Anolis sagrei: one gene and its partners. The protein of the gene in region 1 interacts with the protein of each later gene in a pairwise test. Links are inferred from orthologs where the notes say so. Each region holds a gene or a part of one and is shown on either strand. Other genes may lie near its edges.

The links.
Region 2: the proteins of KPNA1 (region 1) and NUP50 interact in binary tests that used the Homo sapiens proteins (3 or more experiments, as listed by UniProt). The two-hybrid records come from large-scale screens. The link is inferred for Anolis sagrei from reciprocal best matches to the Homo sapiens genes KPNA1 and NUP50.
Region 3: the proteins of KPNA1 (region 1) and SF1 interact in binary tests that used the Homo sapiens proteins (3 or more experiments, as listed by UniProt). The link is inferred for Anolis sagrei from reciprocal best matches to the Homo sapiens genes KPNA1 and SF1.
Region 4: the proteins of KPNA1 (region 1) and ANP32B interact in binary tests that used the Homo sapiens proteins (3 or more experiments, as listed by UniProt). The link is inferred for Anolis sagrei from reciprocal best matches to the Homo sapiens genes KPNA1 and ANP32B.

What each region holds. Positions count from the first base shown.
Region 1 is NC_090022.1:170,434,133-170,441,753, reverse strand, and holds the start of KPNA1 (importin subunit alpha-5), read left to right. Parts: upstream 1-4,615; 5' UTR 4,616-4,708; coding exon 4,709-4,865; intron 4,866-7,621. UniProt on the Homo sapiens protein: Functions in nuclear protein import as an adapter protein for nuclear receptor KPNB1. Binds specifically and directly to substrates containing either a simple or bipartite NLS motif.
Region 2 is NC_090025.1:100,037,022-100,044,529, forward strand, and holds the start of NUP50 (nuclear pore complex protein Nup50), read left to right. Parts: upstream 1-4,490; 5' UTR 4,491-4,928; intron 4,929-5,081; exon of another isoform or gene 5,082-5,176; intron 5,177-7,508. UniProt on the Homo sapiens protein: Component of the nuclear pore complex that has a direct role in nuclear protein import. Actively displaces NLSs from importin-alpha, and facilitates disassembly of the importin-alpha:beta-cargo complex and importin recycling.
Region 3 is NC_090032.1:19,640,120-19,647,340, reverse strand, and holds the start of SF1 (splicing factor 1), read left to right. Parts: upstream 1-4,204; 5' UTR 4,205-4,273; coding exon 4,274-4,766; intron 4,767-5,871; exon of another isoform or gene 5,872-5,948; intron 5,949-7,221. UniProt on the Homo sapiens protein: Necessary for the ATP-dependent first step of spliceosome assembly. Binds to the intron branch point sequence (BPS) 5'-UACUAAC-3' of the pre-mRNA. May act as transcription repressor.
Region 4 is NC_090022.1:150,823,008-150,831,015, forward strand, and holds the start of ANP32B (acidic leucine-rich nuclear phosphoprotein 32 family member B), read right to left. Parts: upstream 3,004-8,008; 5' UTR 2,759-3,003; coding exon 2,705-2,758; intron 1-2,704. UniProt on the Homo sapiens protein: Multifunctional protein that is involved in the regulation of many processes including cell proliferation, apoptosis, cell cycle progression or transcription.

The DNA of each region.
Region 1 (7,621 bases):
TGTTTGTTATATTTACTTTTCCTTCTTTCAAGCTTTTATTTATTTATTTATTTATTTGCTGCATTTGTTAACCGCCGTTCTCAGCCCTAGGGCGATTCACGGCGGTGTACAACATATAAAAGACAATTTACAATAAGCCATAAGGAAAAAAACCAACATATCACTAATACACAATCATCTAATTACACTAAAATAATCCGCTCCGTCTTATCGTAGAATCATAACCAATCTCGTAGTCCATATTCCGTTCCAGTTGTCATTACCAGTTAATATAGCACTCAGTTAAATGCTTTTGTCTAGAAGATGGGGGGAGGGGTTCCCTATTTGTCCGATTGGCTCTCAACCAAACCCATTTTTTGTCAAGATCTGTCTCAAAAGATTCTGAACACTGGTGATTTCTGCCTGTCTAGTGATTTCACCACCAGCAGCCTTTTTGTGACATGCTCTATAAAATGAAAGATCTAGCCTCTGGTGTTCAGGAAGAGATAGCGCTTGTATTCCTCAGGGATTGGGGCAACCGTCATAATCTTGTCATCTAACATAGACCAATCTGCCTTTCTGAAGTTGAATCGAACTTCCTGAGCTCTTACAGCTGGAAACAACTGGCATATGATCGGCCAATGCTGTGTGTTTAATGTTGGTGATCCCACTGATTGATGCACAATACTGTCGCTCACGAGCAGGTTTGGGTTATATCCTCAGTACCATCTCATACTGTTGTAGGATGATGGGAACTTATGATCATGAATAAGCAATAGTTTATGCAATTCAGCCCAGGAAAAAACAGCCTCTCCATTTTTATACTCCTGTGCATAGCCCCCTACAGCTATTAAAGTCACCAATTACTACCGCCCTTTGATGCCTATCAAAGTTCTCAGGAGAGGAGAAACAAAACTCTTCATTTGGGGGCTTATATAGAGAGGTAATTGTGATATTACTAAGCTCTACTGTTATAACCTCTCTATCAGGCATGGGCAAACTTAGGCCCTCCAGGTGTTTTGAACTTCAACTCCCATAATTCCTAACAGCCATAATTCCTGTCACTCCTTTCTACCTGCTACTAAGGAGGCTGTTCAGGTCCTGAACCGGTGCTTGGCCGCTGTTACGGTCCAAATGTCCAAATCTGTCACTGTTTTTGTAGAAGTCCAAAATGCCTGGAGGGCCAAAGTTTGCCCATACCTGCTCTACATTGTTTTCTCCAGTATTGTGGGCACTGCTGACTTTGAAGCTTAGTTTTACAAAGCCAGAACTTCCATACTGCACATGTGGTCTTTCCGCCACTAAGATCATTCCTGGAACTTTTGGTCATTTCTGTTGATTATCTCTGTGTGTTTCTTGGACACAAAAGAAATTTTGCAGCAAGAAAAAAAAATTACCAGCTGTTAGGATGTCTGGGAGTTGAAGGCCAAAACATCTGGGGACCCACAGGTTGAGAACCACTGATCTAACTGAGCCAAGATAAATGTGATGTTTCTTGGACACAAAACATCACATTTATCTTGGCTCAGTTCATAAAGCAACAGTTCATTGGTAGCTGACATGCTTTTGATGATAATTGAGATTATTGTCAAAGCTGGTCCTGAAAAGGTTTGCTTGTTTGTATACACCAGCCATTGTATACACAGTGTCATCTGTACGTGGATGATGTCCAACTCTGTCACTCCTTTTTACCTGCTACTAAGGAGGCTGTTCAGGTCCTGAACCAGTGCTTGGCCGCTGTTACGGTCCAAATGTCCAAATCTGTCACTCCTTCTCACCTGTCACCAAGGAGGCTGTCCAGACCTTGAACCGGTGCTTGGCCGCTGTGTCGGACTGGATGAGAGCTAATAAATTGAAACTGAATCCAGACAAGACAGAGGTACAACTGGTCAGTCACAAGGCCGAACAAGGCATAGGGTTACAGTCTGTGTTAGATGGGGTAACACTCCCCCTGAAGATGCAGGTTCGCAGCTTGGGAGTGATCCTGGACTCATTGCTGAGCCTGGAACCCCAGGTCTCAGCGGTGGCCGGGAGAGCCTCTGCACAATTAAAACTTGTGCCCCAGCTGCACCCGTACGTGGAGAAGTCTGATCTGGCCATAGTGGTCCACGTTCTTGTTACATCCCGAATAGATTACTGCAACGCACTCTATGTGGGGTTGCCTTTGAAGACTGTTCGGAAACTTCAGTTAGTCCAGCGGGCGGCAACCAGATTACTCACCAGAGCGTCATACAGAGAGCATACCACCCCTCTGCTATGTCAGCTCCACTGGCTGCCGATCCAGTTCCGAGCACAATTCAGAGTGCTGGTTTTGACCTACAAAACCCTATACGGCTCCGGTCTGGCGTACCTGTCCGAACGCATTTCCCTCTACGTCCCACCTCAGAATCTGAGATCATCTGGGGAGGCCCTGCTCTCGACCCCACCTCTATCACAAGTGAGGCTGGTGGGGACAAGGAGCAAGGCCTTCTCGGTCGTGGCCCCTCACCTGTGGAATTCGCTCCCGGGTGAGATCAGACCAGCAACATCCCTCCTCTCCTTTAGAAGGAAATTAAAAACGTGGTTATGGGACCAGGCCTTCGGGCAACCCGGCAGCTAAGGACAATGGACTACTAGAATTAACAGGACTGACAATGTGGAATTGAAACTATGGACTCTGAGACAGCGAACGCTGAATGCTAAACTGGTTTATTGACGTGTTGTAGAACTGAGAACCGACCGTTTAATTGTTTTTAACTTTAATTGCTGCTATACTGTTTTTATTGTTGTATTGTTTTGTATTGATGCCGGCATCGAATTGTGCCTTTGTAAGCCGCTCTGAGTCCCCCCCGGGGTGAGAAGGGCGGGGTAGAAGTGTCTGAAATAAAAAATAAATAAAACACCGGCTCTATATAGGCATTTAGCCTTGTGGGGGGTAAGTTCTTTCCAGTTAATTATTTTTTGAGTGGAGAACATAAATTGGACTGTTAGGTGTCTCGTGTCCAAATTTGGTGTCAATTCCCCCAGTGGTTTCTGAGTTCTGTGAATAGCACAAACGAACATTACATTTTTATTTATATAGATTATCAGATAGATAGATAGAAGATTGTTATTATTATTATTATTTGCCATTGAACGTTTGCCTTTTTATGTGTTGTAAGCCACCCTCTGGGGAGATAGGCAGAGAAGAACTAAAGTTTTAATTCATTTACTCCACAAGGATGATAAAAACATCAAATCATCCGGGTGTCTCCTGGGCAACGTCCTTGCAGAGGGCCAATTCTCTTGCACCAGAAGCGACTTGCAGTCACTCCTGACACATGCGCCTTTCACCTTAAGAACAGACAAGCATCCCAAGCTCTGAGGATTACCTGGGAAGGAATCCCACTGGAGCATTGCAACACACCCAAATACCTGGGAGTCACTCTGGACCGTGCTCTGACCTACAAGAAGCACTGCGTGAACATCAAACAAAAAGTAGAAACATTCGAAAGCTGACTGGCACAACCTGGGGATCACAACCAGACACAGTGAAGACATCTGTCCTTGCACTATGCTACTCTGCTGCTGAGTATGCATGCCCAGTGTGGAACACATCTCACCACACTAAAACAGTAGATGTGGCTTTTAATGAGACATGCTGCATTATCACAGGGTGTCTGCGCCCCACACCACTGGAGAAATTACACTGCTTAGCCGGTATTGCACCACCTGACATCCGCCGGGAAGTAGCAGCCAATAGTGAAAGGACCAAGGCAGAGACATCTCCAGCTCATCCCCTGTTTGGGTATCAGCCAGCACATCAACAACTTAAATCAAGACATAGTTTTCTTAGATCTACAGAGACACTCGCTGGAACACCCCAGCAAGCGAGAGTCCAAAAGAGGCAGGCCCAAACCCAGCACCTCAATCCGTGGGTGATACGAGATGAAAGACTCCCCCCTGGGCACTCAGAAGACTGGGCGACTTGGAAGGCGCTGAACAGACAGCGCTCTGGCACCATGAGATGCAGAGCCAACCTTCAGAAATGGGGCTACAAAGTGGAATCCTCGACATGCGAGTGCGGAGAAGAGCAAACCACAGACCACCTGCTACAATGCAACCTGAGCCCTGCCACATGCACAATGGAGGACCTTCTTACACCAGAAGCACTCCAAGTGGCCAGATACTAGTCAAAGGACATTTAACCAAATACCAAATTTGCAAAATCTGTGTTTTTTTTTCCTTTTTTTAAAATCTCTGTGTTTGTTTTGCTCTGTTAGAATTGTAATACAATGGTTCTTGATGACACGATAAATAAATAAACTCCTGACACGACAAACAAACAAACAAACTCATTCATTCATACTGCAAGTTGCTTCTAGTGTGAGAGAATCAGCCAGGCCACTTGCCCTGCGAGGCCCTCCCCCTGTCACCGTGGGGCGGGGCGTGGGCAGGGAAGGCGGCTTGCAATGGCGCGTCCTCGCTCTCCAGGGGCTTCAGGGCCGGCCTGGCCTCCCCATTAGAAGGGCCGAGAGGGAGAGACACGGAAGGGAGCGGCTTCCAAGGGCCTCTTTGAGGCGAGTGGCGCTGTCGGCCTGCTCCTCCACCCTTCCCTCCCTCCACAAGAGCAGCACTTCCGGGGTGAGAGAGGGCGGGACACCCCGGCTAGCTCTTCCTCTCCAGGCCGCAACATAACCATAGAGATAAGTAAACAAGCCGAGCGGAGCGGAGCTGAGGAACGTCACGCGCGCACCGGAAGCTGCGCCAAATGGCCGGCCCGGTGGCGCGTGCGCGCTGGGAGCGTGCGCAGCCGGCTTCGCCTGGCGAGGAGAGAGGGGCGCCTTTGCGCGCCGGGGCGGCGGCGGCGGAGGAGGAGGAGGGCCTTGGCGTCGTGGGCCTGGCCGTGGGGCCGGCCGCAAGCGCAGGTGACGGGGCTGGCAAGGCCGCGGCGGAAAGAGGCCTGGGCGTGGGTGTGGGCTGTGGGGCGGAATGGCGGCGGGAGGCCCGGGAGTTGGGGGCGGGGCAGCAAGGCCACGCCAGGCCACCAGGCAGCTGCTCCTCACCGTCCCGCCCACCCACCCACCTACCTACCCACCACCCGCTTTCAGGGCAAAATCTTCATCACTCAACTGTCATCCACCGGAGATGCCAGGCTCTGGGCCTCTTAGGGCACTTCCAGACAGGCCCTATATCCCAGGATCTGATCCCAGGTTTTCTGTTTATCCCAGATTATTTGGTAGTGCGGACTCAAATAGTCGAATTTAAAGCAGAAATCCTGGGATCAGATCCCGGGAGATTGGGCCTGTCTGGAAGGGCCCTGAGAGGCCATTCCACACAGCCATATAATCCAGAATATCAAGGCAGAAAACTCAATGTATTGTCAAAGGCTTTCATGGCCGGAATCACTGGGTTGTTGTAGGTTTTTTCGGGCTATATGGCCATGTTTTCGGGCTATATGGCCAACATACATTATATAGGCTGGGATCTTTAGTATTATTATAATTACTTATACAAATGAAATTATATAGTTCCCCCTCGAATGGATCCATGCTCTAGTGCAGTGTTTCTCAACCTGGGGGTCGGGACCCCTGGGTGGGTCGTGAGGGGGTTTCAGAGGGGTCGCCAAAGACCATGAGAAAACACATATTTCTCATGGTCTTAGGAACCCTTTTGGTAGAGAAGGCTGAAGATCTCTCCGCCTGTCCTCATCCTTTTTGGTGTTGGTGAATGAAAACTCCCAGAATTCAAAAACAGCCCCCCCCCCCCAATCCCACCAGTAGTTAATGTTGGCCATGTCAGTAGTGTGCCAAGTTTGGTGCAGATCCATTTTGGGCTGGGTTCAGAGTGCTATTTGATTGTAGGTTAACTATAAATCCCAGCAACTACAACTCCCAAATGTCAAGGTCTATTTTCCACAAACTCCACCAGTGTTTGCATTTGGGCATATTGTGTATTCGTGCCAAGTTCGGTCCAGATCCATCATTGCTTGAGTCCACCGTGCTCTCTGGATGTAGGTGAACTACAACTCCAAAACTCAAGATCAACGCCCAACAAATCCTTCCAGTACTTTCTCTTGGTCTTGGGAGTTCTGTGTGTCAAATTTGGCTCGATTCCTTTGTTGGTGGAGTTCAGAATGCTTTTTGATTATAGGTTAGCAACTACAACTCCCAAATGACAAAATGAATCCCCTCCAACCCCACCAGTATTCAAATTTGGTCATATGGGGTATTTGTGCCAAATTTGGTCCAGTGAATGAAAATACATCCTGCATATCAAATATTTACATTACAATTCGTAACAGTAGCAAAATTACAGTTACGAAGTACTAACAGAAATAATGTTATGGTTGGGGGTCACCAACACATGAGGAACTGTATTAAGGGGTCGCGGCATTAGGAAGGTTGAGAACCACTGGTCTAGAGGCATTCTCTCCTGACGTTTCGCCTGCATCTATGGCAAGCATCCTCAGAGGTAGTGAGGTCTGTTGGAGTTAGGAAAAAGGGTTTATATACCTGTTGAATGACCAGGACTCTTGTCTGCTGGAGCTAGGTGTGAATGTTTCAACTGATCACCTTGATTAGCATATGATGGCCTGGCAGTGCCTGGAGCCAACTTTTGTTGAGAGGTGATGAGATGTCCTTGTTTGTTTCCTCCCTGTTGTTGTGCTATCAGGCCATTATATGCTGTAAATGAATAAATAAATTAATAACTCTCACACATCTCTTTTGACAGGCCTACCCAGTCAACTTTAAACAATGAGTTTTGCATTTTCATTCTGTTACTGCTGTATTTTGATCTTTGTACCATGTGTTTTACTGTGAATATTTTATAATGGTGTGTTTTGATATAGCTGTTTTATTTATTATTTATTTATTTGCTTTGCTTATATACTGCTGTTCTCAGCCCAGGGGCGACTCACAGCGGTGTACAACATAAGAGGAACAAAATTCAAAACACAGTATCAAAACAATTCACACTTCAGCATTATACAAAAACATCATCATTACTACAGAAACCATTCCACGTCGTCTCATCGTCCAAATCATAAACCAGTATCATTTTCCGTTGTTCCATTCCTATAGTCATTACCAATCATTGCACTTCTTGTTCGAACGCCTTCTTGAACAACCAAGTCTTTAATTTCCTGCGGAATATCATCAGGGAAGGAGCCAGTCTGATGTCCACGGGAAGGGTGTTCCACAGCCAAGGAGCCACCACCGAGAAGGCCCTATCTCTCGTCCCCGCCAGCCATGCTTGTGAAGCAGGCGGGATCGAGAGCAGGGCCTCCCTGGAAGATCTCAAAGTCCTGGTGGGCTCGTAGGTCGAGATGCGGTCGGATAGGTATCTTGGGCCGGAACCGTTTAAGGCTTTATAGGCCAACGCTTGTTTTGTTGCATGCATTTTATGTGGATGTGTTTTGACTGTGCCCACCTCAAGCTGTTAGGAGAAGCAAGTAACAAATACAAATTATTATTATTATTATTATTATTATTAGTGCTATAATTAGTATTCTTATTAATAGTGTTTACCATTTTCCTACCATTGTCAGAGACACTTCAGGCAAAAGTCGCAAGTGGAGATTTACACATTTTAGGGCATTAGAGGCATTTGGTTAACAAGAAATTATGCTGCAGTAATTAATGTGATGAACCCTCAATCATAATTGCTGTTGCTTCAGAGA
Region 2 (7,508 bases), on another chromosome or scaffold:
GGAGACGGGTCAGGGTCTGGTTGGGGGTCTTGAATGACTGGTGTGTCACTCGTGGCCTCCAAATCAATTGTATCTGTTTCAATTTGGTGAGGCATAGCCGGTTCTAAATTGAAAACCTGCGGATCCATGTCTCCCTGGGGGTCTGGGGGCCGAGAGAGTGTAGCTGAAGGGGGTTCACGGGGGGGTTGGGGAAGGTTTGGGTCAGAGTAATGAGGAGGGTGCATCCCCTTGAATGAGTCAGGGGGGGGGTGGGTAGTAGAAAGGATAAGCCGGGAAGGGAGGAGGGGGAGGGTACATATAATAAGGGTATTCCTGGTACCCATAAGGCTGCTGGTGGGAAGGAGGCACTGTGCGTGTCCTTTTGGGAGGGGGAAGAGAAGGAGTTGTAGTTTGGCGTGGATCCGGGGATGGAGAGCGGCGGCGGCGCCCGCTGGGGTGCGCAGAGGCGCTGGGCCGAGCCGAGGAAGGTGACTCCTCTGGTTCCGGGGATTGGGGAGGGCTGAGTGAAGGAGGAGGTGAGTTCTGAGAGGGTGGGAGAGGCGGGGGGGAGAGGGAAGCGTCCGGAGGAGGCTGCGGTTCCAGCTCCATATGTGGAGCCAGGAGCTCGAGAGGAGGGAGATGGGAGGGGTCTTCCATGTGGAGGAGAGAGGGGAGCGGTTCCTGGAGCTGCACAGTGGAACCGGGGAGAAAGGGCACAGACTGCAATACAGGGGGACTCAAGGGCTGTGTGCCAGTGAGTTGCCGTCCCTTTTTTTGTTTGTTTGATTTCTCTTTTGTTTTTGAAGACCTCGTGGTCTGCTTAGCTGATTTTGCTTTCTTTTTCTGCGGCTCCACAGTGGGAGAGCCCGCTTGTTCTCCATCCCGCCTATCCCCAACGCGTGGGGAGGGAGGCTGGGAGGTATTTTGAACGGGGGAGGATTGGGAGGGAGCGGGAGGAGCTTGCGGGGCCAGGGCCCGCTCATACAAAAGAGCTTTTAATCTGGCGTCTCTGCCTTTGCGAGCTCTGGAGGTGAAGCTCAGGCAAATCTCACAAGTCTGGAGATTGTGGGTCTCTCCCAGACATAGGAGGCATTTAGAGTGTTTGTCTGCCTCAGGGAGGTTAGTCCCGCAGGAGGAACAATTTTTAAAACAGAGGGAAGACATCTAGCCTGATAGAATAGTCGTCAGCCGGTCCGTGGTCGGGGGAAGGAGAGGTCTGGTAGTCGAAGAGAGTCCTGGTCAAAAGCCAATAGAGTCCGAAAAGAAGAAGGAGAAGTCCTGACGATGCTGCCTGTTTGGCGCGGAAAAAGGAACTACCTCTGGGACGCCTGCGGGGGCTGATATACCGGGGGGGCGGAGAGTGGGCGGGGCCTGTCTTTATTCTCTAAAATAATCATTTAAAAATTCATTAAAATTCTAGAAGTTCCGGATTGCTGCGCATGCGCACAGGAGAACCCATAGGTGTGCATTTCACGGAAGACACGAAGAAAAAATTAAATATTAAAATCAAATTTGGTCTGGCAGCTCATTTTTCCATTTTGTATTTTTGATCTGAGTCTAAAATTGGAATAATGAAAAACATGGCCTTGTTTTGATAACCTATTTATTTTCCCTATTTATACCCTGCCTTTCTCAACCCCAAAGAGGACTCAAGCGGCTTTAAATATAGGCAACTATTCAATGCCTTAAAACAGGGGTCCCCAAACTTTTTAAACAGAGGGCCAGGTCAAAGTCCCTCAAACTGTTGGAGGGCCGGATTATAATTTGAAAAAAAGCATGAACTCCTATGCACGCTGAACATATCTTATTTGTAGTGTAAAAAACACTTTAAAACAATGCAATAATTAAAATGAGGAACAATGTTAACAAATATAAACTTATTTGTATTTCAATGGGAAATGTGGGCTTGCTTTTGGCTGATGAGATAGGATTGTTGTTGTTGTTGTCATGTACTTCAAGTCATTTCAGACTTAGGTTGACCGTGAGCGAGGGCCGAGTAAATGACCTCGGAGGTCCGCATTCGGCCCCTGGGCCTTAGTTTGAGGACCCCTGGCCTTAAAACAACATACAATTCAAATGAACAATTAAATTAAAAATTAAAATTAATGCCAGTAAAACGTTTAAAACATTACATTCACTATTAAAATCCTATTCAAAACCAAATAACATATTCGTGTTTTTTGATGGTCAATTGAAAAATGAAAGAACGAGTAATACATGGATTCACATGGCTCTGAATGTTTAGTACTTCTGAGTAAGATATCTCTGTTATTTTCCTGTTCACGTGTTTTGAATTTACAGTGAGCATTGAATAGCCAATATGTAATGTTTTCTGTTTATCCCAGGTTATCTGGCAATGTGGACTCATATAATACAGATTAAAGCAGAAAACCTGGGATCAAATCCTGGGATATAGGGCCTGCCGGGAAGAGCCCTAGGATATCAGTGCTCACCAATGCTTCCTCTTCATCCTGAAAAGAAGTGATGAGCGGAGTGCCGCATGGTTCCATCCTGGGCCCGGTCCTGTTCAACATCTTTATAAATGACTTAGATGAAGGGTGAGAAGGCATGACCATCAAGTTTGCAGATGACACCAAATTGGGAGGATCGCCAATATTCCAGAAGACAGGAGCAGAATTCAAAACTATCTTAATAGATTAGAGAGATAGGCCAAAACTAACAAAATGAAGTTCAACAGTGACAAACGCAAGATATCTCACTTAGGCAGAAAAAATGAAATACAAAGATACAGAATGGGGGACAATGCCTGGCTCAAGAGCAGTACATGCGAAAAAGATCTTGGGGTCCTCATGGACAAGTTAAACATGAGCCAACGATGTGATGCGGTAGCAAAAAAAAGCCAATGGGAGTATAGCGTCTAGATCAGGGTTCCTCAAACTAAGTACCAGTCCTCACTCAGGGCCAACCTAAGTCTGAAATGAAAGCACACCACAACAACAGCAATCCTATCTCATCAGCCAAAAGCAGGCCCACACTTCCCATTGAAATACTAATAAGTTGATATTTGTTAAAATTGTTCTTCATTTTAATTATTGTATTGCTTTTAAGTGTTTTTGCACTACAAATAAATATGTGCAGTGTGCATAGGAATTCATTTTTTTTTCCAAATTATGATCCGGCCCTCCAACAGATTGAGGGACTGTCACCTGGCCTTCTGTTTAAAAAGTATGATGACCCCTGATGTAGATCCAGGGAAGACATGCTACCCCTCTATTCTGCCTTGTTCATACCACACCTGGAATAGTGTCCAATTCTGGGCACATCTAATCACCTCTCAACAAAAGATTGCCCCAGGCACTGCCAGGCCATCAAATGCTAATCAAGGTGGTCAGTTGAAACATTCACACCTAGCTCCAGCAGACAAGAGTTCCTTGTCCCACTCTGGTCTTTCCACATATATATAAATCCATTTTTCTTGTTCCAACAGACCTCACTACCTCTGAGGACGCTTGCCACAGATCCAGGTGAAACGTCAGGAGAAAATGCCTCTAGAACAGTGGTTCTCAACCTTCCTAATGCCGCGACCACTTGATACAGTTCCTCATGTTGTGGTGAGCCCCAACCGTAAAATTATTTTCATTGTTCATAAATGTAATTTTGCTACTGTTATGAATCGTAATGTAAATATCCGATATGCAGGATGTATTTTCATTCACTGGACCAAATTTGGCACAAATACCCAATATGCCCAAATTTGAATAATAGTGGGGTTGTGGGGAGGGATTGGTTTTATCATTTCAGAGTTGTACTTGCTGGGATTTATAGTTCATCTACAATCAAAGAACATTCTGATCTCCACCAATGATGGAACTGAACCAATCTTGGCACACAGGACTCACTTGGCACACAGAAAACACTAGCAGGGTTTGGTGGGCATGGATCTTGAGTTTGGGAGTTGTAGTTCATCTGCATCTGTGGACTCAAACAATGATGGATCAGGACCAAATTTGGCACAAATACTCAATATGCCCAAATGTGAACACTAGTGGAGTTTGGGGGAAATAGACCTTGGCATTTGGGAGTTGTAGTTGCTGGGGTCTATAGTTCACCTACAATCAAAGAGCATTCTGAACCCCACCAACAATAGAATTGGACCTAACTTTTCACACGTAACCCAGATGACCAAGAGAAAATACTGTGTTTTCTGATGGTCTTCGGTGACCCCTCTGACACCCTCTCACGACCCCCCCAGGGGTCCCGACCCCCAGGTTGAGAAACACTGCTCTAGAACATGTCCATACAGCCCGAAAAACCTACAACAACCCAGCGATTCTCTCATTCTCTGCGTGTGGCAGAAAGCTCTCTCTTCCATTTTGCCCAATGTTACGATTCCCTCTCAGCCCGATGGCAGAGTGAACTGTAAGGCCAGGGCCCTCAAGAGCAAGGCTGCACTTAGCATTCGAGAGGAGAGAAGCGCGGCCTGTTCCAGAACCTTCGGGCCCCGGTCGCGTGGCAACGGCTCCCCCTCCCCTCGCGTTAAGCCCCGCCCCCCTCGGCCTCTCCTTCTCCTGGGCCCGCGCCTCGCGAGCTCGCCCCTTAAGGCATGTCTTTTCCTTGGACTCCTGTGCGCAACGGCTAACGCGTAAACTCATTCGGGGGGCGGGGAGAACAGGACAAATGCCTCGTTAAGAACTCAAAAGTGAGGCAGAAGGGGAAGGAGACTCCCCTCCCCTTTCCTCCGGCTTCCCGGCAAGAAACCGCTGAGCGGGAAAGGCAAAGGGGTCGCGAGCGAAGGAGGGCGAATGACGAGCCGCGCTCAGAAGCCCCGCCCCCTGAGGAAGCGCGAGAGCGGAAGTGGCGGGGCTGTGGAGCTGCGCGCGAACGGCGCGTCCTCCCCAAGTCTCGGCGCGAGACGCAGCCGGCACCTGTGAGGTAACACTACTCGGCGCGCGGGGAAGGGAAGCGGAAAGGACGGGGCGCTTCTCCTGGTGAGAGAGGCCTTCGCCAAGGAAGGGAGGGGGGAGGAAGGGAGGGGGAAGGAGGAGGAGGAGGGCCCGGCCTTCCTCTGGCGCCTTGAGGGCGGGAGGGGGGAGAGGCTTGGGCTGCGGAGGAAGCGGGGGTTCCTAGACCGGCTGCCTTAGCGAGTGGGCCGCTGCCTCCTTCCTGTTGTCCCAAGAGGAAGGAGCCAACCCTTGGCGCGCGGGGCCTCGCTGTGGCTCCGCCTCCTGGGAAGAGGGTGAGGACAGAGGCCCGGCGAGGAAGGAGGGAGGGAGCAAAGGCGGGCAGGGACCTCATCACACTAGAGTAGGTATGGGCAAACTTGGGCCCTCCGGGTGTTTTGGGCTTCAACTCCCACAATTCCTAACAGCCTACTACAGCTCCCAGAAGCCCCCAGCCTGCAGGCTGGGGGCTTCTGGGAGCTGTAGTAGGCTGTTAGGAATTGTGGGAGTTGAAGCCCAAAACACCCGGAGGGCCCAAGTTTGCCCATGGATCCACTTCGAATCCAGTTTCTCCCTCCTGCAAAATCCTGGAGTTTGTAGGTTAGGGCATCCTTTCAACTGGTCAGCCAAGGTCCTGGGCCTCCCTAAATTACAAACCCCAGAATTTTGCAGGAGGCAGAGACTGGATTTAAAGAGGATCCATGCTCTAGTCCAGGGGTCCTCAAACTTTTTTTAATTATATATATTAGTTTAATACATACACAACATTTATAGTTCCCACCACCACATATTAATCCTCTTTGAGATGAACCTTATAGATAACATTTGTCTCCTATTTCTTTCTTTTTTTCTTAATTTTTTTTATTTAATTATTTGACACAATCTCATATATAATCAAAAAATATACGTTCAGAAATACTGGAACATGTCTAAATCTGTATGTAGACAGCAACTTGTACAAAGTAAGTATAGCATATACTCGAGTTTAAGACACTTTCAAAGGGAAATCCATGCAAACTATTCCTAACTAGAACTGTGTCTATCTAGCTAAGAGCAATAGTGTCATCAGCTACTCCCACCCCCATATCATATGCAAAAGGTAAATGCCAATGTATTTGGGGGGGGGGGGGGGGAATTCCTTACAAGGCAAGAAAAAAATGAATGAATTTCTAGACACACTGCACATATCTTATTTGTAGTGCAAAAAAAAAAAAAACCACTTAAAAACAATACAAACATTAAAATGAAGAAAATTTTCAACAAATATAAGCTTATTAGTATTTCAATGGGAAGTGTGGGCCTGCATTTGGCTGATGAGATAGGATTTTCGAAGGCTTTCATGGCCAGAATTGCTGGGTTGTTGTAGGGTTTTTTGGGCTATATGGCCATGTTCTAGGTTCTCAAACTAAGGCCCGGGGCCGGATACGGCCCTCCAAGGTCATTTACTCAGCCCTCACTCAGGGTCAGCCTAAGTCTGAAATGACTTGAAAGCAAACAACAACAACAGTCCTATCTCATGAGCCAAAAGCAGGCCCACACTTTCCATTGAAATGCTATTAAGTTTATGTTTGTTGAAATTGTTCTTCATTTTAATTATTGTATTGTTTTAAAGTGTTTTTGCACTACAAATAAAATAATGTGCAGTGTGCATAGGAATTCATTCATGTTTTTTTCAAATTATAATCCGACCCCCCCCAACAGTTTGAGGGACTGTGACCTGGCCCTCTGTTTAAAAAGTTTGAGGAACCCTGCCTAAAACTGTTGGAGGGTCGGATTATAATTTGAAAAAAAGCATGAATGAATTCCTATGCACACTGCACGTATCTTATTTGTAGTGTAAAAAACACTTTAAAACAATACAATAATTAAAATGAAGAACAGTTTTAATAAAAATAAACTTACTAGTATTTCAATGGGAAGTGTGGGCTTGCTTTTGGCTGATGAGATAGGATTGTTGTGGTGTGCTTTCAAGTCGTTTCAGACTTAGGTTGACCCTGAGTGAGGGCCGGGTAATAATAATAATAATAATAATAATAAACAAATTTAATACCCCACCACCATCTCCCCAATGGGGACGCGGGGCGGCTTACATGAGGCCAAGCCCAACAGCATATTACAATAAAGTAAAACCAAAACACAATAACAACAAAGTAAAATACATACATCATATGAGTACAAAGACAATAAAGCAAAATAATACACAGTAAAATAAAATAACCTAAAAATGAGCGGGCTGTATGTGCAAGATCAAAACTAAGATACTAAAAATACTAAAATCAGGATGAGTTAGGGATGGAGCAGATTGTTTGTGGGGGAGAATGATCTTGGAGGGCCGCATCTGGCCCCCAGGCCTTAGTTTGACCCCTGCTCTAGTCTGATGAGGCACAAAGACGTGGTTTTCTTGTGCCTGGCAGGCGGCTGTTGCCTCTGTCTGCCACCTCCACTGGTGGCGTCCCAGTTCCATGCCATTGCCCTGCAACTATTATTATTTATTATTTATTTATTTACAACGTTTATATGCCACCCTTCTCACCCAAAGGGGACTCAGAGCGGCTTACAAGATATATATATATATACATACAGTATATTATATTATTAGCATAGTGCAATATCAGTATTACATATTAC
Region 3 (7,221 bases), on another chromosome or scaffold:
TGATTGGCTCATACGCAGCTAATCACCTACCAACAAACGATTCCCCCAGGCAGTAAGAAGTCATGCCTTGAAAACTGCTAGGCCATTAAATGCTAATCAAGGTGGCCAATTGAAACATTCACACCTACGTCCAACAGACAAGTTCTTTCACCCACCCTGGACATCATTCCACAGAGATATAAACCCCATCTTCCTCGTTTCCAACAAACCTCACAACCTCATAACCATAATACAACAATATGATTTATTTATTTGTCGTGTCAGAACAACCAGTCTAACAGAACAAAGCAAACAAACAGAAAAATACACAACTTGTGAGTTTGGTAGCTGGTTAAATGTCCTTTGACCAGTTTCTGGCCCCTTGGAGTGCCTCTGGTGTTGCCGCAAGAAGGTCCTCCATTGTGCATGTGGCAGGGCTCAGGTTGCATTGCAGCAGGTGGTCAGTGGTTTGCTCCTCTCCACACTCGCATGTCGTGGATTCGACTTTGTAGCCCCATTTCTGAAGGTTGGCTCTGCATCTCATGGTGCCAGAGCGCAGTCTGTTCAGCGCCTTCCAGGTCGCCCAGTCTTCTGTGTGCCCAGGAGGGAGTCTCTCATTTGGTATCAGCAATTGGTTGAGGTGCTGGGTTTGAGCCTGCCACTTTTGGACTCTTGCTTGCTGAGGTGTTCCAGCGAGTGTCTCTGTAGATCTTAGAAAACTATGTCTAGATTTAAGTCGTTGACGTGCTGGCTGATACCCAAATAGGGGATGAGCTGGAGATGTCTCTGCCTTGGTCCTTTCACTATTGGCTGCCACTTCCCGGCGGATGTCAGGTGGTGCAATACTGGCTAAGCAGTGTAATTTCTCCAGTGGTGTGGGGCGCAGACACCCCGTGATAATGCGGCATGTCTCATTAAGAGCCACATCCACTGTTTTAGCGTGGTGAGATGTGCTCCACACTGGGCATGCATACTCAGCAGCAGAGTAGCATAGCGCAAGGGCAGATGTCTTCACTGTGTCTGGTTGTGAACCCCAGGTTGTGCCAGTCAGCTTTCGTATGATATTGTTTCTAGCACCCACCTTTTGCTTGATGTTCAGGCAGTGCTTCTTGTAGGTCAGAGCACGGTCCAGAGTGACTCCTCCCATGTATTTGGGTGCGCTGCAATGCTCCAGTGGGATTCCTTCCCAGGTAATAATCCTCAGAGCTCGGGATGCTTGTCTGTTCTTGAGATGAAGGGCACATGTCTGTGTTTTAGATGGATTAGGGATCAGCTGGTTTTCCCTGAAATAGGCAGTAAGAGCACCTAGAGCTTCGGAGAGCTTCTGTTCTACCATCTCAAAGCTGTGTTGAGGCCTCGGCCTTTGTAAGCCGCATCGAGTCATGCGGGAGATGCTAGCGGGGTACAAATAAAGTTAATAATAATAATAATAATAATAATAATTTTCCTCGTTTCCAACAAACCTCACAACCTCATAACCATAATACAACAATATGATATAATAATGTAATAATAATATTATATTATAATAGAAATATTATATAATATATTATTATATGATATAATATTGCATACTAATATAATAATTGTTAATATTATATAATTTATCATAATTCTATATACAATTATTATAATATAGTATAATAATTTAAAAATAATAATATTACATATATATATAGTATAATAATATCATACTATAGTAATTATAACCATAATGTAATAATATAATATAGTATAATAATGTTAATATAATACATATTATTATATAGTGATATAATATAATATTGTATAATACTATAATAATTATTAATATTATATAATTTATTATAATTCTATATATAATTATTATAATATAGTATAATAATTTAAAAATAATAATGTCACATATATAAAGTATAATAATATCATACTATAGTAATTATAGCCATAATGTAATAATATAATATAGTATAATAATGTTAATATAATAATATAATATATATTATTATATGATATAATATAATATTGTATAATAATGTAATAATTGTTAATATTATATACTTTATTATAATTCTATAATTATTATAATATAGTATAATAATGTTAATATAATAATATAATATATATTATTATATAGTGATATAATATAATATTGTATAATAATATAATAATTGTTAATATTTTATAATTTATTATAACTCTATATATAATTATTATATGTATATTGATTTAATAATAATAATGTCATATATATAAAGTATAATATCATACTATAGTAATTATAACCATAATGTAATAATATAATATAGTATAATAATGTTAATATAATAATATAATATATATATTATATAGTGATGTAATATCATATTGTATAATAATATAATTGTTAATATTATATAATTTATTATAATTCTATATATAATTATTATAATATAGTATAATAATTTAAAAATAATAATGTCACATATATAAAGTGTAATAATATCATACTATAGTAATTATAATCATAATGTAATAATATAATAATATAGTATATTAATGTAGTAATGAGGATGCCTGCAGTACTATTTTTTTCCCTTTTTGGCCCAAGCGGGATTCGAACTCGCGACCTCCTGATTCATTTGCAACACCAGGCTTAGGCCCTAACTCCCGCCAGCCTCGTGGATGGAAGAAAACGTGGGCCAATCAAATGCCTCCTTATTTCCCTCTGCGGCGCTACTTTATTTCACCGTCCAATGGTAGCCCGAGCTTCCACTGACGTCACTTATCTCTATGGGACTCGTGGCAGAAAAGTCCCTCAGGAAGCGGGCCATGTGGCAGCGAGGAGGGAAAGTCCTGAAAGCAATTGAGCTTCACCAATCACAGCGTTAGATTCCCCTAGATCCCGCCTTCCAAAATGGACGCGGTATGCTCCCGCCTACTAAGGCCTAAGTATCAAATCAGCGCGCGGGACACCTTGAAAGACAGAGGACGTGAAGGCTGTGTCTGGCTAATGACGGTTGATGGACGCGGCTGTTGACCAATTGGCGTCCATTAGGCGCTAGCTAGAGGAGGGAACCAATCACAGCGGTGCAGCCAATCAAAGCGGTAGATATTTGACAGACGCGGCTCTTGCCCAATCGGCGGAGTGAAGGACTGCTTTGGCGGCCATTAGACGCCGTGATAGATAGAGGAGGAACCAATCACAGCGGTGCAGCCAATCAGAGCGGTGCAGATTTGATAAACGCGGCTCTTGCCCAATCGGCGGAGAGGAGGACTGCTTTGGCGGCCATTAGACGCTGTGATAGATAGAGGCGGGACCAATCACAGCGGTGCAGCCAATCACAGCGGTGTACATTTGATAGACGTGGCTCTTGCCCAATCGGTTGAGTGAAGGACTGCTTTGGCGGCCATTAGACGCCTTGATAGATAGAGGAGGAACCAATCACAGCGGTAGAGATTTGATAGACGTGGCTCTTGACCAATCGGTGGAGTGAAGGATGTCTTTGGCGGCTATTAGACGCTGTGTTAGATAGAGGCGGAACCAATCACAGCAATGCAGCCAATCAAAGCGGTAGAGATTTGATAGACGCGGCTGTTGCCCAATCGGCGGAGTGGAGGACGGCTTTGGCGGCCATTAGACGCCGTGATAGATAGAGGCGGAACCAATCACAGCGGTGCAGCCAATCAAAGCGGTAGAGATTTGATAGACGCGGCTGTTGCCCAATCGGCGGAGTGGAGGCGTGCTTTGGCGGCCATTAGGCGGGCAGGGCTACCTTGAGAGATAGAGGAGGAAACCAATCAGAGTGGTGGAGGTTTGATAGACGCGGCTCTTGCCCAATCGGAGTGAAGGACTGTATTGGCGGCCATTAGACGCCTTGTTAGTTAGAGGAGGAACCAATCACAGCCGTGCAGCCAATGACAGCGGAAGAGATTTGATAGACGTGGCTCTTGCCCAATCGGCGGAGTGAAGAACGGCTCAGGCGGCCATTAGGCGCGCAAAAGTACCTTGATAGATAGAGGAGGGAACCAATCTCAGCGGTGCAGCCAATCACAGCGGTGCGAACTTGATAGACGCGGCTCTTGCCCAATCGGTGGAGTGAAGGATGTCTTTGGCGACCATTAGGCGCACAAAAGTACCTTGATAGATAGAGGAGGGACCCAATCTCAGCGGTGCAGCCAATCAAAGCTTTAGAGATTTGACAGACTCGGTTCTTGCCCAATCGGCGCAGTGACGGACGGCTGCCTCAGCCAATCGGCGCGCGCGGTCTTTGTGAGGCGAGCCTTTGGCGTGGAAGCTTCGCGAACGGGCCTGGGACGCCATTAAGCGCCGTCGATGGCGACCGGAGCGAACGCGACGCCTCTGGGGAAGCTCCATCCGCCGCCGCCGCCGCCTCCTCCGCCGGGGAAAGCCGGCTACCCGCTCCCTCCGCCGGGCCTCGTGATGCAGGGGCCTCCTCCTCCTCCGCCGCCCGCGCAGGCCCAGCCCCAGCCGGCCATCCCCAGCCTCATGGCGGCCGCCGCGGCCTTCCCTTTCGCCGCGCTCCCGCCGCCGCCTCCTCCGCCGCCTCCACCACCTCCTCCTCCGCCTCAGCAACCCCAGCCTCCGCCTCAGCAACCTCCACCTCCTCCGCCGCCTCAGCAAGGGCAGCAGGCGCCTCAGCAGGCCCAGTACGCCCAGTACCGCTTCCCCTCGCCTCCCCCGCCGCCTCAGGCCGCGCTAGGCCTCGAGCAGCAGCAACAGCAGGCTCAGGCCGTGGCGGCCCAGCAGCACCTCCACCTCCACCTCCAGCAGCAGCAGGACGAGGGCGGCCAGGCCGGGAGCCAAGGCAAGTCCGCCTATCTCGCGCTCAGCCCAAGTATGTACCGTGGCTGCTTTGCCTTCCTCTGGGTAGGCCGGGCAAGGGACACCCCGCTTGGGTTGGACTCCTCGCAGCCTCAGGCCCCTTCCTTAAGCAACTGAGGGGAGAAAAGAAGGGGCCTGAGGACAATTGGCACACAAGAATTTATTTATTTACTTCATTTACTTTGTTTGTATACAGCTCTTCTCAGCCCTTCGGCGACTCAGAGCGGTTAACAACAAACAACAGCAAAAATTCAAGGCTAGCATCATACAAACCATTTAAAAACAATTAACACAATGGGTTGTTGTAGGCTTTTTCGGGCTGTATGGCCATGGTCTAGAGCAGTGGTTCTCAACCTGGGGTCCCCAGATGTTTTTGGCCTACAACTCCCAGAAATCCCAGTCAGTTTACCAGCTGTTAGGATTTCTGGGAGTTGTAGGCCAAAAACATCTCAGGACCCCAGGTTGAGAACCACTGGTCTAGAGGCATTCTCTCCTGACGTTTCGCCTGCATCTCTGTATATATATATATATATATATATATATATATATACATATCTATATCTAGAATGACTGGGGTGGGGCAAAGGACTCTTCTCTGCTGGAGCTAGGTGTGAATGTATTGTTATTATTATTATTATTATTTGATGCACTTATTGACCGCCATTCTCAGCCCATAAGGGCGACTCATGGCGGTGTACAGTACACATAAAAGACAATTACAAAAAGCCAGTTTCGACAACATATAGACTATACAACAACTACAAACTACACTAAAAATCCGCTTCGTCTCTTAGTGGAATCATAGCCAGTCTCATTCCAGTTCCGTTCCAGTTCTCATAACCGTATTATTAGCACTTAATTAAATGCCCTCTCGAAAAGCCATGTCTTAAGGCTTTTTCGAAAGGACATGAGGGAAGGCGCCTGTCTGATGTGTGCAGGGAGAGTGTTCCACAGCCGGGGGGCCACCACCGAGAAGGCCCTCTCCCTCGTCCCCGCCAGCCGTGCCTGTGAGGCAGGCGGGACCGAGAGAAGGGCCTCCCCAGACGATCTCAAGGTCCTCGTGGGCTCGTAGGCTTTCATGGCCTCCACCTCCAGCAGCAGCAGCAGGACGAGGGCGGGCAGGCCGGGAGCCAAGGCAAGTCCGCCTATCTCGCGCTCAGCCCAAGTATGTACCGTGGCTGCTTTGCCTTCCTCTGGGTAGGCCGGGCAGGGGACACCCCGCTTGGGTTGGATTCCTAACAGCCTCAGGACCCTTCCTTAAGCAGGTGAGGGGGAAAGGAAGGGGCCTCAGGCCAGTGGGCCCACAATAATAATAATAATAATAATAATAATAATAATAATAACTTTTTTATCGTGTCATCAGCAGCCATACCATTGTGTTACAATTCTAACGGAACAAAACAAACACACAGATTAAAAAGAAAAAAAACACACACAGATTTTGCAAATTTGGTATTCGGTTAAATGTCCTTTGACCAGTATCTGGCCCCTTGGAGTGCCTCTGGGGTTGCCGCAAGAAGGTCCTCCATTGTGCATGTGGCAGGGCTCAGGGTGCATTGCAGCAGGTGGTCAGTGGTTTGCTCTTCTCCACACTCACATGCCGAGGATTCCACCCTGTAGTCCCATTTCTTGAGGTTGGCTCTGCATCTCGTGGTGCCAGAGCGCAGTCTGTTCAGCACCTTCCAAGTCGCCCCGTCTTCTGTGTGCCCAGGGGGGAGTCTCTCATCTGGTATCACCCACGGATTGAGGTGCTGGGTTTGAGCCTTTCACTTTTGGACTCTTGCTTGCTGAGGTGTTCCAGCCAGTGTCTCTGTAGATCTTAGAAAACTATTTCTAGATTTAAGTTCTTGACGTGCTGGCTGATACCCAAACAGAGGATGAGCTGGAGATGCCCCTGCCTTGGTCCTTTCACTATTGGCTGCTACTTCCCGGCGGATGTCAGGTTAATGTAATACAAAATAATAATAACAGAATAAAACAATGGAAATGTAATAATAGAGTAAAATAATGGAAATGTAATAATAACAATAAATAGAGTAAAATAATAGTAAGTAAGCTTTATTATGGTTGATGACCAGATCATAATGTAATAAAATAATAGAGTAAAATAATGTAAATGCAATAATACTAATAATAATAATAGAGTAAAATAATAAATCTAATAATAGTAGAGTAAAAGAATAAATGTAATAACAATAATAAATAGAGAAAAATAATAAATGTAATAAAATAATAATAGAGTAAAATAATGTGAATGTAATAATAGAGTAAGATAATAAATGTAATAAAAATAATACTAATAACAGAGTAAAATAATAAATAACTTTGATTCTAGTATAAGCCGAGGGGAGCTTTTTCAGCCTAAAAAAGGGACTGCAAAACTAGGCTTATACTCGAGTATATACAGTTAGTTGTCTGGGTTTTTGAAGTTTGGTAAC
Region 4 (8,008 bases), about 20 Mb from region 1:
AACCACCATGAGTCCCCTTTGGGGTAGAGAAAGGCAGGACACAAATAGAGCAAATAAATCAATAAATAATCTGTTTATCCCAGGTTATCTGGCAATGGGGACTCATATAATCCACTTTAAAGCAGAGAATCTGGGATGAGATCCTGGGATATAGGGTAGTGTGGGCCTGAGGGCCCTTCCACACAGCCCTATAGCCCAGAATATCAAGGCAGAAAATCCCACAATATTGGCTTAGAACTGGGTTATCTGAGTCCACACTCAGATAATGTGGGATTTTCTGCCTTGATATCCCGGGATATAGGGCTGTGTGGAAGGGCCCTTAGTTTCATTTGAAGGAGAAAAAGTGGGATATAAACACTAATATCAGTAATATTCACTGTGCCACATCTGCCAAAAGGGACCCCCAGTTTCACTAAAGAAAAAAAGAGCAATTTAACAGGTTAAAATTACTCTTGTACCAACGTATTTCTCCACTCCTTTGGACATCCTCACCCCTTACAAATATTTTTCAATTTCACAGGCTTTAAAAACCTTTGGCCCTTCCACATGGCCCTTTGGCCCTTCCCATGCGTTCTCTTAAGGGCAGGAATCAAGCAGATTAAACTGTTTGGCACATGGGTGAAAGCCATGAGTGTTAGATGGCTTCACTTTAATTCACTTAGTGGCACGCCTGCTGTGCAAAGCAAGGGAATTCTTTTAACAACATGCTGTCCCCTGCCATGTGTTGCTGTGGCCCAGTCTGTGTATATATGTTTTGTGTGTGTGTCTGTGTATGCTTGCTGTAAGGTATTTTTCTTTTTGGAGAGTTTGACGTTATTTCCCCTTTGTTTTTTAAAGGTTCTTTGTTTGAAAGACATAAATTGGATTATTATGTTTTGCTGCCAAATTTCGAGTCAATTCGTCCAGTGGTTTTTGGGTTATGTTAATCCCACAAACGACCATTATATTTTTATTTATATACTAGCCGTTCCCTGCCATGCGTTGCTGTGGCCCAGGCTGTGTATATGTGTCTTGTGTGTATATGTGTGTGTGTGGCTTTGTACATGTGTTGTATTGTAAATTTTGTTTTTTGGCTTTTTGAGTCTCTTCTGTGTTTTTCAGTGTTTTTACGAGTGGTGGTCACTTGTCGGCCTGATAGGTGCATGGTGTCCAAATTGGTGTAAATTCGCCCAGTGGGTTTTGAGTTATGTTAACCCCACAAACGAACATTATATTTTTATGTATATACTAGCCGTCCCTTGCCATGCGTTGCTGTGGCCCAGGCTGTGTATATGTGTCTTGTGTGTTTATGTGTGTGTGTGTGCTTGCATATATATAGGTGTGTGTGGCTTTATGTGTTGTATTGTAAATTTTGTTTTTTGGCTTTTTGAGTCTCTTCTGTGTTTTTACGAGTGGTGGTCACTCGTTGGCCTGATAAGTGTCTTGTGTCCAAATTTGGTGTAAATTCGCCCAGTGGATTTTGAGTTATGTTAATCCCACAAACGAACATTATATTTTTATTTATATAGATAAAATAAAATGAGGAACATGTGCTAAGAAAGGTGGTTTCTATGTACTGCTGACTGTATGGATGGCTGTGACGATTGGAGGAGAAGTAATGTATTTGAAATGTGGTGCTACCCAAAAAAATAAGGGGGGGGGTTCTGAGAGCCAATGCTTTCTGAAAGGCAGAATAACCAAAAGGAGACGGTCAAACTTGGGTTGCCTCATGGGAAAATGTGCCTCGTTGGGAGAGCCTACCCTGCCTGCGAGAGTGCGAGGCAGCAGGGAAGAGGAAGACCGCATTAAAGATGGATGCCACGGCCCTGAGCCGCCCGCAGAAGCCGAGCCAGGGCCCCCAGGCCGAGGAGGCCTCTCCACAGGCAAGGAAGGAGACCTCCTTGCGGCTCCCCCCTCCCCCCCAACTTGGGTGCTTTAATTCTACGGCTTTCAATCGATTCCCTTTTTCAAAGAAGGGGCAGATCGTATGTCTCTTTAAATAGGCGCTCTCCTTGAAACCACAAAGGGGGTTTTGGGGGAGTCTAAATTACACCCTATTTTTTTTTTGTTTGTGTGAGGGAGAAGTTTTTTGGCGGGAAGGCGAGCGTTCTGAGGAGGAGGGGGGGAGGGCGGAAACCAGGGCGCGCGACCCCGTTTGCTCGCTCGCACGCGCACATTGCTTGCTTCCTCCTCGCGCGCTCTCGTTCGCTCTCTCTCTCTCTCTCTGTGCAGCTGCCTCTTTTTTTAAAGGGGGGAGGGGGGGAAGGGCGAGGAAGGCAAGCACGCGCGAGCCCGCCCCGTTGGCGCAGCTGTTGCCCGTTTAAGAGAAGGGGGAAAGGAATTAAAAAAAAAAACCAAGGGTGGGGAGCCGAGAAACGAAAGAAATGAACGCGGTGGTGGCTGCGCGCGCGCTCCAAGGAAAGAGAGGCGCCAACAGCCTCTCCGTGTCGCGCGCTCGCCCTCTCTCTCCCTGCAGGCAAGCCCACGCGCCCTCCAGTAAGAGACGCAGCGGCTGAACAACATGGCGGCCGCGGAGCGTCTCCTCAGCCGCGCTCTCTCTCCCGCCTCTCTCTCTCTCTCCACGCGCCCTCCCTTCCCCCCTCCCCGCCGCCACGAGCCCCCAGCTTGACCCTCTTTGCCCCTCTTTTTTTTCCTATTCTTAAAAGCCGGCCCCGCTCGTGAGGGAAAGAAAGTGCGGCGCTTTCCCGCCCAGAGGCGGACTTACATCCGGCGGGGTCCGGTTCCGCAGCTCCAAGTGGATGCGCTTCTTCATGTCCATGTCGGCGGCGTCGTGTGGTGGCGGCGGCGTCGTCGGAGGTGGAAGCAGCAGCGGGGTGTGGGCCCGGAATTAGGCCCTGTGCGCACGGCGCGGAGTGGACTCGCGGGGCAGCGCTGGGGCGAGCGAGCGAACGAGGGAGGGAGGGAGGCCGAGGGGGAGTTGCGGAGGGCGGGAGCGCCGAGCGCCTCCTTCGTCGCCGTCGCGACTGCAGTTAAACTGGCAACGAGGCCTGGCGAGGACTGACTGACTGGCTGGGCGGCCGGCAGGGGGCGCTGCCGAGGAAGGGGAGGGGGAGGAGGAAGGGGAGCCGCCTCCCGGAACCCCGCCTCCCTCCCTCCTTCCCTCGCCCCATCTTCGCCACAGGCATGGCGGCCGGCCATCGCTCCCGCAGGTCCATCTCTTCCTCAGCGCTCGATTCTGGTTTATACAACAGGTTTGCAAGGACAGGATTTTCGCCACCTTCTCCAGGCTTCTCCAGGTGGGAGCCATGAAATGCACCTCTCTGCTCACTTCCGGCCTCGATCATTATTATTACAAGAATTTATTTATTTACTTATTATATTTAATCTACTATATAAATAAAAATGTAATATTCGTTTGTGAGATTAACATAACTCAAAAAACACTGGGCGAATTGACACCAAATTTGGACACGACAGCTCTCAGGCCAACGAATGACTATCACTCATAAAAATACTGAAAAACAACAGAAGGGATTTTAAAGGCCAAAAAATAAAAATACATTACAACACATGGGCAAAACCACATATATACACATATACACAAATATATACACACACAAAACACATATACACAGACTGGGCCACAGCAACACATGGCAGGGGACGGCTAATCTATATAAGTAAAAATGTAATGTTCGTTTGTGGGATTAACATAACTCAAAAACCACTGGACAAATTGACCCCAAATTTGGGCACAATACACCTATCAGGCCAAGGAGTGACCATCACTCATAAAAACACTGAAAAACACAGTGGAAGAGACTTAGAAAGCCAAAAAAAACACCCCCACCTTACAACGCATGCACAAAACCACATAAAAACACATATACACAGCCTGGGCCACAGCAACACATGGCAGGGGATGGCTAGTCTATAGAAATAAAAATGTAATGTTCGTTTGTGGGATTAACACAACTCAAAAACCACTGGACGAATTAACATCAAATTTGGACACAATACACCTCTCAGGCCAACGAGTGACCATCACTCATAAAAACACTGAAAAACACAGTGGAAGAGACTTAAAAAGCAAAAAAAAAACACCCTTACAACACATGCACAAAACCACACACACACATATATACACAGACTGGGCCACAGCAATGCGTGGCAGGAGATGGCTAGTTTATATAAATAAAATATTTAATGTTCATTTCTGTGATTAACATAACTCAAAAACTACTGGACAAATCGACACCAAATTTGGACACAATACACCGCTCAGGCCAACGAATGACCATCACCTCTAAAAACATTGAAAAACAACAGAACGGACTTTAAAGGCCAAAAAAGCAACAACAAAAAAACAGTGATAGCACATGCGCAAAAACAAAGCTTCCCCCTGGCAAACTACACACAAAAGCACACTCTCTTCCAGGCTACAGCTCCCAGCATCCCCTAGACCAGGCCCTTTAGGAGAGGAGGATGATCCAAATTCACTGCTTCCAAGCTGCAAGCTTTCTTCTCCTTGGATTTCTTTGAGAGCATCCCAATCCCTGCATATTTTCAATTTCCTATTCCTGGATGGCGACTCCCATCAATCCTCCAGAAAGATAAGACAGATAGATAGATTAGATAGCAATAGGTAGGTAGATAGATTGATAAGAAGGACTGCTGGGAGTTGCAGTCCAAGAATAGGTAGAGAAGGAAGAAAGGGGAGAAACAGAAAGGGAAAGAAAAGGGAAGGAAGGGAAGAGGAGAAGGAAAGAAATGAAATTAAAGAAAAAAGGGAAGGAAGGAAGGAAAGGAAAGAGAAAAAGAAAGGAGAGAAAGAGGGAGGGAAGGTTGGCCACAGCAACACATGGCGGGCACAGCTAGTTATAATAGTAAGGCATTTAAAATATAAAAAATTAAAACCCAAACAGCACTAAAACATCAGTTAAAATCCATCAAAACATACTCCAATTTAAAAACCACAGCAACCTGCTGACTTTATCTTAAACTCCTTCTTTAAAAGTCTGCCTGAATAGAAAGGTTTCAGTCTGCTGCCGCTGGAAGGACAGCAAAGAGGGGGCCATTCTGGCTTCCCTGGGAAGAAGGGGGTTCCAGAGACCAGGGGCAGACACCGAGGCCCCTTCCACACAGCTGTATAAAATCCCACATTATCGGCTTTGAACTGGAATATATATCCCAGTTTAAATCTGATACTGTGGGGTTGTCTACCTTGATAGGCTGGGTTATATGGCTGTGTGGAAGGCTTGCGCTCTCTCTCTCGTTCCTACCAACCAACTGAGCTTGAGATGGAGGTGGGACTAAATTGTGCCCAGAAACAGACTGGCAGCCAGTGGAGCTGCTGTAAAGGGGGTGTCCACTCCCTGGAGCAAGCCCCAGTTAGCAACCTCGCTGCTACTCTTTGTACCAGCTGAAGTTTCAGAAGACCCGTGAAAATATTAAGGATGCTTCCACACAGCCATATATCTCAATATATTAATGCACTTACTCCACAATATCTGCTTTCAGCTAGGTTGAGTCCACACCCATATAATCAAGTTCCATGTGGATTTTATACAGTTGTGTGGAAGAGCCCAAACCACCTCTTGGGAAAGTTTTCTGGCAGGTTTCAGTGCTTTATTTTCTTTTTGGGCTGAATGTGAGCCTCACCTCCTCTAACCTGACTAAAATTCAATCTCATCCAGGCTTTTTAGTAGCCTTTTTGGCCAGTCAGATGATTTTCCCAAATAGTTGATGCAGCTATGAAAACAATATGTCTCACCCCATAGTTAACATTCAGAAGTTGTGTGTACATCAGACTTTAGACTGTAAACTGTCCTTTCTTTCTTTAACAAATTTGAAATGAATCCCAGGAATAGTTTTATTATATGAAGATGTACAGGCAGTCCTCTAGTTACAAACATCTGACTTGCAAATGACGCCTAGTTAAGAACGGGGGTACAAACATAGCTGTAAAAGGTGCTGGAAATGCGACAAACAAACTGGAACTTTCTTCCATCAATGGTGGTCCTGCCCCATTGCACAAAATTTCTGGAAGAAGATCAACAAAAGATGCGAAGAGATTCTCAAGCTGAAGATCCAAGAAAGAGCAGAATGCTACCTGCTTGGAATATTTAAAGAAGAATGGGAGCTGAGCGCAAATAAAGACATACTACTCACATTCCTTACAACGGCAGCGAGAATAGTCTATGCAAGGAAATGGAAATCAAAAGAGACACCAACAGAAGAAGAATGGATGGAGAAAGTTCTAGAGATAAGAGAAATGGACACGTTAACCTACGCGTTATAAGACTCATACGGACACCCACTCAAAAGAACCGACTGGAGCCCATTAAATGAATATATGAGAGAAAATCTATCTCTTAAAAAGATATGAGTAGAACAGTAAACAAGAGAAAAATAAGAACCACAAGGGAAAAGCCACAAAAGAGATATTTCCAGAAGAAATGAAAACAACGCGGAGAAATCGGAGTCGGAAGTCAACCCCCCCAAACCCTCCCCCCCTCCCCCCCAAACCTCCTCCTTCCCGGACCTACTTGCCCCCTCCCCTCCCCAATTTACCCCCTTTTTTATATAACCCAACCCCCCTCTATTTTTATTCTTGTTGTATTTATTAAAAAATTGCTAATAAAAATATTTTTTAAAAAAAGAACGGGTGAGACAACAGGAAGTGAGAAATCTACCCCTCGTAAGGGAAAACCTCTCCTAGAAGAGTTATTATAATGGGGAAAAGGTGTCGTCATTGAAGCTTTCTCACCAATTCTTGGTTCCACAACAGGTAATTTTTTTTCAAAATTGGTCACAGGGACAAGAAGTGAGGTGAAATCTGAGCAGGGGCACAGACAGCAAAACAAGGTTTACAGGGGTGTTAACTCTTCCCTGTGTTATCCAAAGCTATATATATATATTTGCCTGGTGTTACCCTTCACAAATGTATCTATTCCGACTTACATACAGACCTACAGAACCTATCTTGTCTGTAACCCAGGGACTGCCTATATAACCAAAAAGACAAAGAAATGGGCCTGAGAACAAATCGAAGCTGAATTCTCACTACCACAAGACAGTATGACTTCTTCACAGATCCGATTGGTGGGAACAAGAGACAGGGCCTTCTCAGCAGTGGCCCCTCTGCTATGGAACACTTTCCCTAGGGATATTAGATTGCCCCCCTCCCTCCTAACATTTCAAAAGAGGATTAAAACCTGGCTGTTTGACCAGGCATTTGCAGACGCAGTATAACTGATTAATTGAGACTCATGAAATGATTGGACGATACAACGGAAAATTATTTTAATTATGAGATGCTGAGGACTTGTACTTTATGGTTTTAATTGCTGTATTGCTTTTATATAGTTTATATTATATGTAATGTTTTTGACTATTTTATTTTGTGGGGCATTGATTGCCGACTAAACTGCCTTGAGTCACCTCTGGGCAAAGAGGGACGGTATACAAATATAGTAAATAAATAAATAAATAAAGTACTTTGGACATACCATGAAATGGCATGACATGGTAACGCTCAGTAAAGTTGAAGTCACAAGGAGGAAAATTACAGAGGAACTGACTTAATCAGGGAAGCCATGGACCCAGGGATGGAATCAGGTTAATCTTGGGGGTTATAATTCATAGGGTTATAGTACATTGAAGCTATCTTAATAGAACATTAACAGCAACAACAAAACACTGGAGTTGTACATTCACTCTAGCTTTTGCTTTTTCCTCTTTCAACCACTCCCAAGTTGAACAGCAACAATCCTGGTTCCAAACTAGGATTCAATGCCAGCAGACCCCTATTTGATTTCTCATAGTTATAGAAGTAGTGTTAAAATCCACTGTGGGTTTGCTATTTCTATGGCAATACAGTAGGAAAAATGTTTTCAGTAAATTAGGGTTTGAAACTGTAGGAAGCTCCATTACCTCTCATTATCTCTCAAAAACACCCACTAGGGGTCACAATCTAGATTTGATATTGCAATTTAGTGGCACAAAGGGGAGTAGGGAGCAGAATGTTTAAAATAAGAGACACTCTAACTAGCTTGAAAACAAAAAT